Drosophila melanogaster: one gene and its partner. The protein of the gene in region 1 purifies or fractionates together with the protein of each later gene. This does not show direct contact. Each region holds a gene or a part of one and is shown on either strand. Other genes may lie near its edges.

The links.
Region 2: the proteins of Tm2 (region 1) and tn purify together in Drosophila melanogaster (affinity purification with western blotting; one study listed by BioGRID). This does not show direct contact.

Annotation. Positions count from the first base shown.
Region 1 is NT_033777.3:15,308,662-15,315,985, forward strand, and holds Tm2 (tropomyosin 2), read left to right. Parts: upstream 1-1,583; 5' UTR 1,584-1,638; intron 1,639-2,015; exon of another isoform or gene 2,016-2,412; intron 2,413-3,373; exon of another isoform or gene 3,374-3,533; intron 3,534-3,714; exon of another isoform or gene 3,715-3,738; 5' UTR 3,739-3,791; coding exon 3,792-4,385; intron 4,386-4,447; coding exon 4,448-4,625; intron 4,626-4,929; coding exon 4,930-5,012; 3' UTR 5,013-5,359; intron 5,360-5,866; coding exon of another isoform or gene 5,867-5,949; 3' UTR 5,950-6,536; downstream 6,537-7,324. UniProt on the Drosophila melanogaster protein: Tropomyosin, in association with the troponin complex, plays a central role in the calcium dependent regulation of muscle contraction. May also regulate motor systems required to maintain nuclear integrity and apico-basal polarity during embryogenesis.
Region 2 is NT_033778.4:18,985,637-18,990,526, reverse strand, and holds the start of tn (thin), read right to left. Parts: upstream 3,184-4,890; 5' UTR 2,836-3,183; intron 1,144-2,835; exon of another isoform or gene 839-1,143; intron 752-838; 5' UTR 661-751; intron 1-660.

The DNA of each region.
Region 1 (7,324 bases):
TTTGTCATAGCTTTTGTAATTCTATGAAGCGTGCAAAACAAATATAACAATGTATGTATTTTTCTTTTTCAACTCAATATTTTTACGATCAATAAACTGAAATCATTCTTTTGCATATAAAAAATTTCATGGATTTTTTATTTAAACGGTGGGTTGCATTAGTTAAATAATAAAAATATGCACTGATCATGAATCGAATATAAAGGACATAAAGTGTCCTGTTGGTTTCAATCTGCCGGAATATTGTGTATCCTTATTAAAAGTTAATATTGAAATCAAAATCAAATCATGCTTATATCCCAAAACTTATAGGATGTTTTTATTTGTGTTGGAATAACCATATTTGTCACATGTGTGATATTTTAACTCAACATTAAATATTCTTTGGAGCTACATATATAAAAAAAGTTTAAAATAAGCTTAAAGAAGAAGGGTTTTGAAAAATCGAATTTGAAAACTGAATACGTTTGCTCGCCAATTAGTTGTTTTTGAACAGTTTTGAAAATATGAAGTTTCAAACATTTTCCTAAATCAAGAAGAGCTATAAATCAACTAAAATTTGAAGTTATAAAAGTCTATAAATAAAGTGCACAATATTATTGACTTATGTAGGTTTGGCTTTTAAGTAAAATTTATTGCTGAACGAGAATAAAAAGATCGGGAGTACATATAAGTGTAATCCAGAGACTATGAGACATTTGGTGGAATCTTCTTGATATATAATAGTATTAAAGAAGATGTTACGTCACAGAAATATTGAAAGAAGAAGAAAATTGAACTGGATTTTGAGATGAATTGCTAAATGGATTTAGCGAGGTCGGACATATAAATAAAACCCACCATATATATTTATCTTTTAAATATACCTATATAAAAATATACATATATCTATAGAATTTCTTAGTTTAGAGTTTTGATAACAATTTTTCCATATCGTTACTTAATTGGTTATTAAAATAAATAAATTATAGATTTTATTCTTCAGTTATATAGTAAGTTAAGTGGTTTTGTTTTAGCAAAAAATCGAACGGGGACAATTAACACACAAGAAAATCGGATCAATTGCCTTGCATTCGAGACTTTCGAAAGCAAAAGAACGGCAGGAAAACGCTGGCCGATCAAAATTCCAAATATTTCTCAATATTTTTTTACCGAGCGAAAATAGATTTTCATCTTGTTGGACTTTTGCTCTTGCTGCTTGTGGCTATTTTTGGCCGTGTATCTGACGGATACACGCACACACACAGACAGCGAGAGTGCTGTGAGTAAAATATAAATTGAATTTAGATTTAAGAAGCAGAAAGAAAAGCGCATAAATTTCACGAGAATGCAGCCCAAAAGAGAGAGCATCGTATGAAGCAGCTTTTGGGGGAAATTTCGAGGGAAATTTTCGAGATCGCCGAGCAAAGTTGCGAAAGCGCCATTCCACATATACATTTATTAATGGGAAATTTTTGAGGCGAGAAATTATTCAATACCGCGTTGGTGTGTGCCCTCAGTGTGTGTGAGTTTTTCCGATTTTCCGAGTGGCAGTGTGCGTGTGCGTTGGATCTTGGGGTCGCTTTCTGGGCTAAGCAACTTGGTCAGCATCAGTGTTCTCGGGGTTTCGACAGCGTATAGTGTGTTTGAAACGCTAAGGTTGGTCACGCCAGGATTTTCACCCGACAAGAATTAACTCAAAATAAATATAATTAAATCGCTCGCCTTTGCTGCTAACCAAATTGGTATTTTCAACTGGATTTCGAGTGGATAACAAAATTGTGATAAGTGCATGGCATTCAAAATTATAAATTTTGAATTTTCCCCAAACGGGAAAAAAAAGGAAAACCTTGTTAAACTTAAATAAAATGTGCATATGTATATGTGTCAATTAGCCTGGATATAAAGTTCTACAAAAAGTTAAATGAGTGATCCAAATGTAATGGAAGTGAAAATTGCTATAACTAAAAAAATGAATATCTCTAAAAAACTTAAAATGAACGATCTAAACTACTTGAAAATGGAGATCTTATGATCATTTTTCGGATATTTTCAAAATTCGCTTATAAGGAATTTTGTAACTAAATCTGACGGCACCAATACCATCCAATAAATATCTGTGTGTGTGTGAGAGAATTTTTTTTTGCACACACACACATGAGCTTCATTCGGAAAGCTCTACACGAATGGGACACATATACATATGCACCTTACACACTTATGGCACGCACAATTTTCACACACACAATCACACTCGACCGATAAAGTTTTCCTCGAAGAAAATTCTTTAAAATTAACTGCAGACAGACACCTGCCTGTCACACACACACAGACATACGCATTTATTTTTAACTCTGCCTGAAATTTATACGAAAAAGCTTTTCCGTCTAGCTTTCTGTGATCTCAGAAAACGAAGGCAGTCGAGAACTATAGGTATTTATCCTTGAGATTGTTTTCGAGAGAGATATTTTGGAAAATATTAGAGACGTAGACGATTCCCAGATGCGGATACATATGGTATCTATCTGGGAATATATATATTCAAGGCATAGCCACCCACACAGAATTGTAGATTTCAGAGCGAATATTTCTAGCCATTCGTGAATGCGTCCGAAGGCCGCAAAATTTGCCATCTTTAAGATACATATTCGAACTGATTGAAAGCCCAAGTACCTTTGGCAATCACCAAAAATTTTAATGATGTGAAAACTAAGTAGCTATTTAACATATTATAAGTTATTTAAAGTCTTTAGAAAGAAATCCTTTTTACCTCATAAATCACATATTAAACATTGCTTATGTTTTTTTGGGTACAAAACACACATGAGTATCGCAAGACCTCCAAAAGATCAGCAACTACAACATAAATGACTTTGCCCCACTTTGGGTGGTAGCAACATAGATACACGAATTCGAATACGAATACGCCCACACACCAAATGACCCCAAAGAATTGAATACTTTTCAAATTGCAATCGGTGGCGAGCTATGTACATATATATGTGGGGTATTTCGAAATAATAGGGGGAAACTCTAGAATTACATTTAGCACACAATGTCCAAAAAAGCATTTCTCCTATGCGTGTGTGTGCGAGTGGACTGGATATTTTTTTCTCACATGCAAAAGCATATAAAGTTTATTTTTAACCCCACCGAATCGTGCAGCAAATAAACATATAAACATATAGCTCACCGACGGATCCGGATTCGGATTTTGAGTGGGCGTTTTGAAAATGGAAAATGAAAATTACGTGAGATCTTTTGAGAATGCTCGGCGTAGCCGCCAAACAAAATGTGTTTACATTTAATTCTCAAATTTATTGCACGAACACATATGCACAGCATATAGATATATACAATTTAATTATACCTATGGATAACCTATAGAATGCGCCTGGATCGTTTAAATAAACCGATTTTGTCTTGCAGCGGAAACATAAAAATTCTAGAAGTCACAGTAAAGAAACAAAAATGTATAGTCAAAAGAAAAATCCAAGTTCAAAAAATCTGTAATTTATGAAAGGAAATAAACATTGGAATATCTTAGGACCAACGTATATATGTTATAATATATTATTAAGCGGTTCAAAGCTACAATTAGATTTAAATAAAAAAGTCATACATTTTATTAATTATATAATATTATTATTATTATATTATAGTATATATAATATTCTATGCCTTATGAAAATTGCTCCTTAAAAATTGCACATTAAGGATTCAGTTATTCAGCTTACTCATTTGTATTATTTGGCACAGTGCTTTTTTCCAGTTTTCTTCCCTTGTAAGTCAAAAACAAAAACACAAACACCATGGACGCCATCAAGAAGAAGATGCAAGCGATGAAGCTTGAGAAGGATAACGCCATTGACAAGGCCGACACCTGCGAGAACCAAGCCAAGGATGCCAACTCCCGCGCCGACAAACTGAACGAGGAGGTGCGCGATCTGGAGAAGAAGTTCGTCCAGGTGGAGATCGATCTGGTTACCGCCAAGGAGCAGCTGGAGAAGGCCAACACCGAGCTGGAGGAGAAGGAGAAACTCCTGACCGCCACCGAGTCCGAGGTGGCCACCCAGAACCGCAAGGTGCAACAGATTGAGGAGGATCTGGAGAAGTCCGAGGAGCGCTCGACCACCGCCCAACAGAAGCTGCTGGAGGCCACCCAGTCGGCCGATGAGAACAACCGCATGTGCAAGGTGCTGGAGAACCGTTCCCAGCAGGATGAGGAGCGCATGGACCAGCTGACCAACCAGTTGAAGGAGGCCCGCATGCTGGCTGAGGATGCCGATACCAAGTCCGACGAGGTCTCCCGCAAGCTGGCCTTCGTTGAAGACGAGCTGGAGGTGGCTGAGGATCGTGTCCGCTCCGGCGAGTCCAAGATCATGGAGCTGGAGGAGGAGCTGAAGGTGGGTCCTCAAGAGAAATCCTTCTGTTCTCAAACCACTATTCATGGTGTATTCCCAACTAGGTTGTCGGCAACTCCCTGAAGTCCCTGGAGGTGTCCGAGGAGAAGGCCAACCAGCGCGTGGAGGAGTTCAAGCGCGAGATGAAGACCCTGTCCATCAAGTTGAAGGAGGCCGAGCAGCGCGCCGAGCACGCCGAGAAGCAAGTGAAGCGCCTGCAGAAGGAGGTCGACAGGCTAGAGGGTATGTATCCAACTTCCTACGCCCCTGGCACATTCACTCAGCCATTTTCCGCGGAGGTATCTCTCCACGGGACACCGGAGATGCTGTCCACCGGAAGTGATCCGCCTCGAACGGCCGGATCGCTGGCTTCAACTAATGCTCGCATTGTATTTATCGCCATAAGGATATTAATAATTGTACTTAGTACTCTGCTTTCATTAATTGACGTTCCACATTCACACATCTCGCTCGCTCGCCCTTTTTTTTGAATATCTCTCTATATATATATTTGTATAAATGAACAACAAACAAATGCTTTTTGCAGACCGTCTCTTCAATGAGAAGGAAAAATACAAAGCAATCTGCGACGATTTGGACCAGACATTTGCCGAACTTACTGGATATTAAAAAAGATCACAAACAGAACTCACACAATGCCCTTGCCTCCCCCCCCCCCCAACCGCCCCTTGCCCAACTCCCCCAAAAAAAGGAACACTCTCAGTACATCCCGAATCCCACACAGTTTATTATATATATATATATATATTCTATATTATATTTTTGGAACGATTCCCCCAACAGTTTCAGTGTATTTACCACCCAGCCCAACACGCCACACTTATCTATACACTGTAAATAATCTGTTTAGTCCCGCTTGAATGTGGCCACACCCACACGACCAGTTCCCTACGCCAGTACACTGTAAAAATAAGTTCAGATCAAGCCAAACCAAGTTGCAACTGTAGTTAATACAGGTGAATTTATCAATGTAAATATTGTTGTTTGTATGCCAGATTCTTACCCGTTGTGATGTGGCATGACCTCTTGACCCGTCTCGCCTTCGCACTCTATCTCAGTCTATGTCTCTATGTCTCTCTCTCTCTCTCTCTCTCTATCGTCTCGTCGATCATCAGTGGCTTTCGTTCGAGCCAATTTCGCCCAGGCCTTGGTCGAGGGATTCTCTCAAGGATTGCTGCAACGATTGGTTGGATAGATCATGTCCACATCCCGTAGAGCACCCCATAGATAGTCCTGTCCCCCACCTCCCCTGAAAACCCACGCACAGAACCGCTGACTAACCCAAAAGATCAAAAGATAGAAACGCCTGCCAGAACAGCGCGCCACTAATCCTAATCAATAACTCCATAAACTTGGTACACATGGTGTAAAGTTTGAGTGTTTTTCGTTTCAATTCCAATGTTAAAAAACCATATTTTTGAATATTTTCTAACGCATTTCCAACCACCATTTGCACTCCGCAGACGAGTTGGGCATCAACAAGGACAGGTACAAGTCCCTGGCCGACGAGATGGACTCCACATTCGCCGAATTGGCTGGCTACTAAGTTGGCCAACAGTCCCATTATACCAAATCCACACCAGCAGCGGAGGAAGATGGAGACGACGACGAGATGGAGAACTCTACTAATTGTAAACGAATATCTCAAATTGATTTGGCCAACACGAAGATCGGCGGCCGCAGATACCAAGAACAACAACCATTGTGTATGCAATTCTTTATAAATCTATATATTTCATAATAAATAAATAACAACAACAAACAGATCAACAACAGCAACAAAGCCAACGAGCATAGAAAGCAAATGGAAATTCTTTTGTTTTATAAAAAATAAAATTATCTAAAGTCAAAAGTAGCAGAATGTATAAAGTAAACAAAACGAAAACAAGAACACGAATTTTGTATTTTTAAAATCAATGTTTAAAAATATTAAGAAGCGCTTGCAGTCAGGCAATAAGAGCGAGAGAGCTAGAGAGAGTGCCCAGGAAAGAGACGGGGCTAAATTTAAAATTTTAAGATCGCGCTGCCTGCTTTACTTTCAGTTTATATCTTACAATTACACCACAAACAAACAAAAAAACACCCACAAAAAAAGTATAAAAAAATTTATAAAAACTTTGCTAAAAAAAAATTATATGTTTGATGTTTGCTTTCAATGATGCACAAAACCGAATTTCTTTGCCCTTCAGCGAATCGCGCTGAAGTTCACTACATTTTTGGCGGATATGCAAAGTAGTCTTCAGTTTTTTCCACCGATTTCTCATACTCTTGGGAAACCCCATGGATGCTGGGCCGAAATAACCAAGTCCGAAGTGCGTCACCACTTCATCGGAGATGGATCACGATCCGCAAATCGAGGCCTTCATTGCAACATCTTTAGCATCCGCGCTAATTGTCAAAGCAATGAATAATGAAAGTTCAGTTATCTGTATATATATGGCATATATACACATCCTCAGGGTGATTTCCAGATATGAATTGTAGATGTGGGCAGCTCGCCGTTTTGACCATCAATAAGTGAGTTAAGGCCGCGTTCGACATGTGGGTCTGTTGCTCTCTTGGCCAAATGGACTTTCTTGTAAACTGAACTCGAATTGAATTTCCATTTCTCCTCGCTCTTCTCGCGACGTTGGCCATAAAATAGTTATTAAATCGTTAAGTGGTGTGTTAAATTACCCACTTAAAGCGCCAGTCATTATTTACATAATTTACATTATGGTATATGGAAGCTGGCAGATATGTTCATCTTATGAAAAAAAAAGAAAGAGTCATTTCGAGTTTAAAAAAAAAAACTTTTGTTTTTAGCTTTTAAAAAGAAATATATAGAGAACGGTTGATATTTTAAAAGCTGTTATCTTTAAGATAGAAGTTGAAATATGAATGATTATTCCATGTTTATATTGCCCGGGGAGGAACTAGAA
Region 2 (4,890 bases), on another chromosome or scaffold:
ATTTCATTGAAAATTGGAGCGAACATCGCTCGAATTCGCTGTTCCGTCAAACTAGTGGAACATTTCTCTGTGCCAAGTGAAAAGTTTCTACTTCCATTAGAAGTTTTCCCTTAACTTAAGTAGCAGTAAACCATTAGTTTGCTGCAATACGAACTAAAATTTCATATTCCATTCAAAAAGTTGTCCCTAAAAGTTACAATTAAGCTTTTTCTCAAACATGTTCAAAATATCTATCTGTATCTATTAACTACATATAATTGCATTCGGTAAGTAAGTAGGTTAAGTTCCCTACACAAACATTTGTTACTTTTACCAAAATAATTCTATCCAGTTTCGCAGTTTTTTTTTCTGTGCATGCTTCTCAAGGTCAGAACTTCGCTCCTCTAGCTCTGTATATATCATTCTATCTCCCTATGGGAATATGCCGAAAATAGAACTCACTAGCCCGGAATTCACAGACTGCAGTCTGCACTCCTAGGCCAAAAAGAAAAACAAATAAAGAAATGAAAACTGCACTGTATTTTTGGGCTATAAATAAACGGAGCAGACGGGAGAAGCAGATGCAATCGAAACTTTTTGAAATTTTAGCTGCACTCCCAAAGGAATACTATAGAAACTACAAAGTATTGTGACGTTCCAATTTCAGCGGTGATAACTTACGTTTCCAAGTGTTGTTTTCTTCTTATTGTCTACTTGGGTATCCGAGGCGCCCTTGAAAGGGGCCTGTTCCTTTGGCTGTTAACTCTGCTGGCTGAAATTAAAAAGAAAATATATTAAATTTAGAGCCAAAGGCAATTGTGAGTGAATTGTGGGGAGTGAGGGTCGAGTAGCCATTTACCTGGCCATTAACACGCTGCGCATAAGCCGCATCATGCCAACTTAATTATACGGCCTCAAAGGCTGCGGCACGCAAAACAATGATGAAGGCGGGTGGTGAAAGTTGGAATTCATTGGATGGCATGGGATTGGATGGGATTGGATAGTATTGAATGGGATTCGATTGGGCGCGGTTGACAGTCGAAGATAATGAAGTTCGGAATGCGCTTAAGGTTCGCTTATTGTGCACTGCGACAGATAAGCTCCTCGGTGGGCCACACACTCTTGACCAGGTTAATGAATAATCAGCTGGGGTCGAGCATATGGCTGCGAAGGTAGATCTTTTTAATTAACTTGCCGTGGCCGAGTTCCTTTCGACCAAAGGAAACAATTAAACAATGGAAAACCAATTTCCGAAACTATAATAACATGATTACATCGGCGGTCTTTTGAGCATCGAACGCGTAAAGGGAATTTAATAGAAATTAATTGTTCACACAATTGCATTGATATCCCTTATAATTAATTTTCTTTAATGAGCACAATTCGGAGCTTCATTGCGTTACTAAAATGATACAGTAAAATGTGGCATGAAAAATTATACATCAATTCATACATTTTATGATGATTTCGTTTTTAGTATTATTGCAGATTGGTTTTATTTGCAATCACTAAGCTTTTGAATATAGCAATATTTAAACATAATACAGATTTCAGCAACCAACAAGTTGACTTAAAACAAGTGACTTAAAAACTTCAATAGCTCGGAAACATTTGGAATATTTTTCCATATTAGATTTTGGTAATATAAATGCTATTTGTCTGTTGAAACAAAAACTTTTCAACAAAAAGGTGTACAACTTTATGTAGTTTTTAAAATACCTTTAAATGAATGGATAAAGAAAATGAGACAACACTAAGAAATCATAAGCAATACATTTACTTTAAAGTTGCCAACGCGCTACTTTCGAGCAGTTTTTAATTTAAGTTGCAAAAGTGGCCAGTAAATTCGAATCAAAACTAGTTTAGGTGGATATCTATTGCCAGCGTGCTGCAATGGCACTTCTTTAATGCTGCCAGCGACCTTGAACTTCCGCCCAGCTGAAGCACACTCGAAAAGAGCGGAGGAGGGATGGGGTTGGAGGGCAGATGAAGTGAATTGAAAAGAGGCGAGTGCTCGCAATAAAGCTAAAAGGAAAACTGGAAAAAACTGTTGCCTACTTTCCGGCGGCACATAAATTTAAACCGCACACGCCTCTCTCACTTAATCTTCCGTATTATTTTTATTTTTATATTTCGAAACGAGAAATTAATTGTTTTGTGTGAGAGGTGTGAATATAAAAATAAATACGAGAAAGCCCACCACAAACATTCCAAATGGATGGCGAGAATGGGAGAAGGAACAAGCAAAAGCAAAACCGAAACCGAAACAAAAGCAAACAAAGCAATCAATGATAAGCGAGCAGCGGGCAAAAGACAAACACAAACAACAGAAATGGAAATAGAAAATCTCTGAAAATGTCGCTGATTGAATCGAACTAAAAATAAGGCAGCAACACGGCGTATGAGCAATGTGCGTCTCTGTGTGCGTGCCTGTGTGTGTGAGTGTGGGCAAATTATTGCCATGCTTTCTGATGAGATATGCACACACACACACACACACACACACACGTAATATAGCGTATAACAGATCCTCATCAACATATATTTGTATACATGATTATGTCAAAATTTGTTAATAAATTTTGAACGCGAAGCCGAAGGAGATGAAAATAATTTTGACAGCTTTTCACGAATGTGGGAGTGTGCACACGGTGGGATGTTGAGAAAGCGCAATTTTCAGCCAGGTGACATTTTCCCAAGCTCCTTCTCTCGCCGAGATTCTCACGCCTTTCGCCGTTTTCTCTCTTCTTTTTTTTACATAATCAGCAGCCATTGAATGCGTCGAGCTCATCTCCATTTGAATGCGTTTCCAAAAACGAGCTTAAAATCAGGACGTATCCACCCCGTTCGACTCACTTGCGTTGGCTTCCTCTATTTCCTGATGCTTCGCGAAACTTTTGCAAATTTATTCGCATGCCTTGGCGGCACAAGGACTTTCACTGACTTCACTTTCAAACTGAGGTACGATGTATTACCGCCTTGGCTCAAACCAACACTCGCGTCGCGATTACTGGTGCTTTTGGACGCACCCTCACGCACTGCGCGACAGGTGAAAGATCTTTGGGTAGATCTTTGCACCCCTCTATATACACTTAATAGATATATATATATGGATATAGGTGGTTGGGAATCGAACTGGGCTATAGCTATTATCGGCGTATCGGTCCGCACGTCCACTCGCGAGCGTGCCAGAAATGAAAATGAATGTTTTTCTCTGCTCGACTCTCGAACGCTTGATGATCAGCCGTTCTTGAGGTGAAATTTTATAAATATAACCTGAGGCAACAACAAAAGTGCCACAAATATTTCTGCGTCTTCTTCCCACTTTCACGTAGCACTTTTGTTGTTTCCCAGCTTCACCCGACCCCAACGAACCTGTGCAAGAATTATATACATATATACATATAATATAATATATGTACCATAATTGTCTGTAAGAATTCCTCTCGCTTTTTACAATGTCGCGCAGAAAGTCCAAGAGCGACAATATATTGTTCAATACGTATTCTTACCTGTTATTGTTCTGGCTTATTTCGCAGTTATTAGAGTGAGATTTTCACTTTTCTTTAGTCCAGCGGAAAGAAAAGCTGAGGAAAAGATCGACGCCCACGCATTTATCTGGCAGAATGATTCATTTTCGAATTTTTTTAAATATTTATAGAAATATTGATACTTATATAGAATAAGGAAATTGATGTCTTAGCAAATATCGCGCGAGTTTTATGTAGTTATAGAATTCAGCATAATTAAAAGTGTTAACAGAAAGACAAATGATTTAGAGATAGGTAGGTTTTTTACTCTAGACATCATAATAAAATATATACGCTTAAGATTTGTCATTGAATTATTAATATTTATTTCATCTTAATTTATTAAGTTCTGTTTCTAAGCACTTGTTTACGTAATATATATTAATAATATGCCTAAGAAGATCAACATTTGTTACTATGTTGTCTTAAATCATTTAGTTCTTTAATATTACTTATTTTTCGCTTATTATTCTATAAATACCAAATTCCTCTCCGTCATCACATGCAGTATGATTGGTCTGCATTTAGCCATCCTCGCCAGACATTCGGTCTTTTGTTCGGTCATTTGCTTGTCCCACATGACATCTTGTCAATAGGCTGATGAATCGGGTTAGCCGTTAATATATTTTCGGAAAAAATAGCGAGCTAAAACAAAGCCGCAGCCGCAGTCAAAACAAAAACAAACCGAAAAAATGCGAATTATGAGCGGGCCAAAACAAAGATGTCAACACGTTCGCCAAGGCAGCTCAAGTTGTTGACGGACTCTAGGTCAGTCCCACTGACAACGCCATAGCCACAGCTATATCCTCTATTACACGCTGAGAAAAAGTTACTAAAATGGTAACCAAATGTATTTTTTGAATATATATAACATACATAATTAGGTTTCGAACAGCATCTCTTCATCAATATAATATTTTGATGTCACTAATAAAAAGTTAAAGTGTGTGCCCCTCCTATTCGATGCTGATATAACGAAAATTATTAATTAACGATGTTCCTTTGAAAGTAATTAATTTATCAAACTGCTTTCCAAGAATTAACTAAGGATTCGTATATTTTCCATGTGCATGAGAATCACCGCTGGATTTGTGCGCAGTTGCTGGTTCTCGTGAAATTGAAATTGCGTATTGCGGACATTGCATTGTGAACACTGCAACAAGGCTATCGGAACGGCGACAATTGTATAGCACGAGTTAAGACCCATTTCCATTAGCGGAGCGTCCGAAATAGTGGCATCTATTCATTCCCAGCATATTTGAGAGCAACTCATTAGGCCCGAGCCATGATTAATTAGAACTGATGGATGGCCAATTGACGAATGGAAGGCATGGCTGCGGCGATGCGAGCCAGGAGCCAGCAGCCAGGACGCATTATTGAT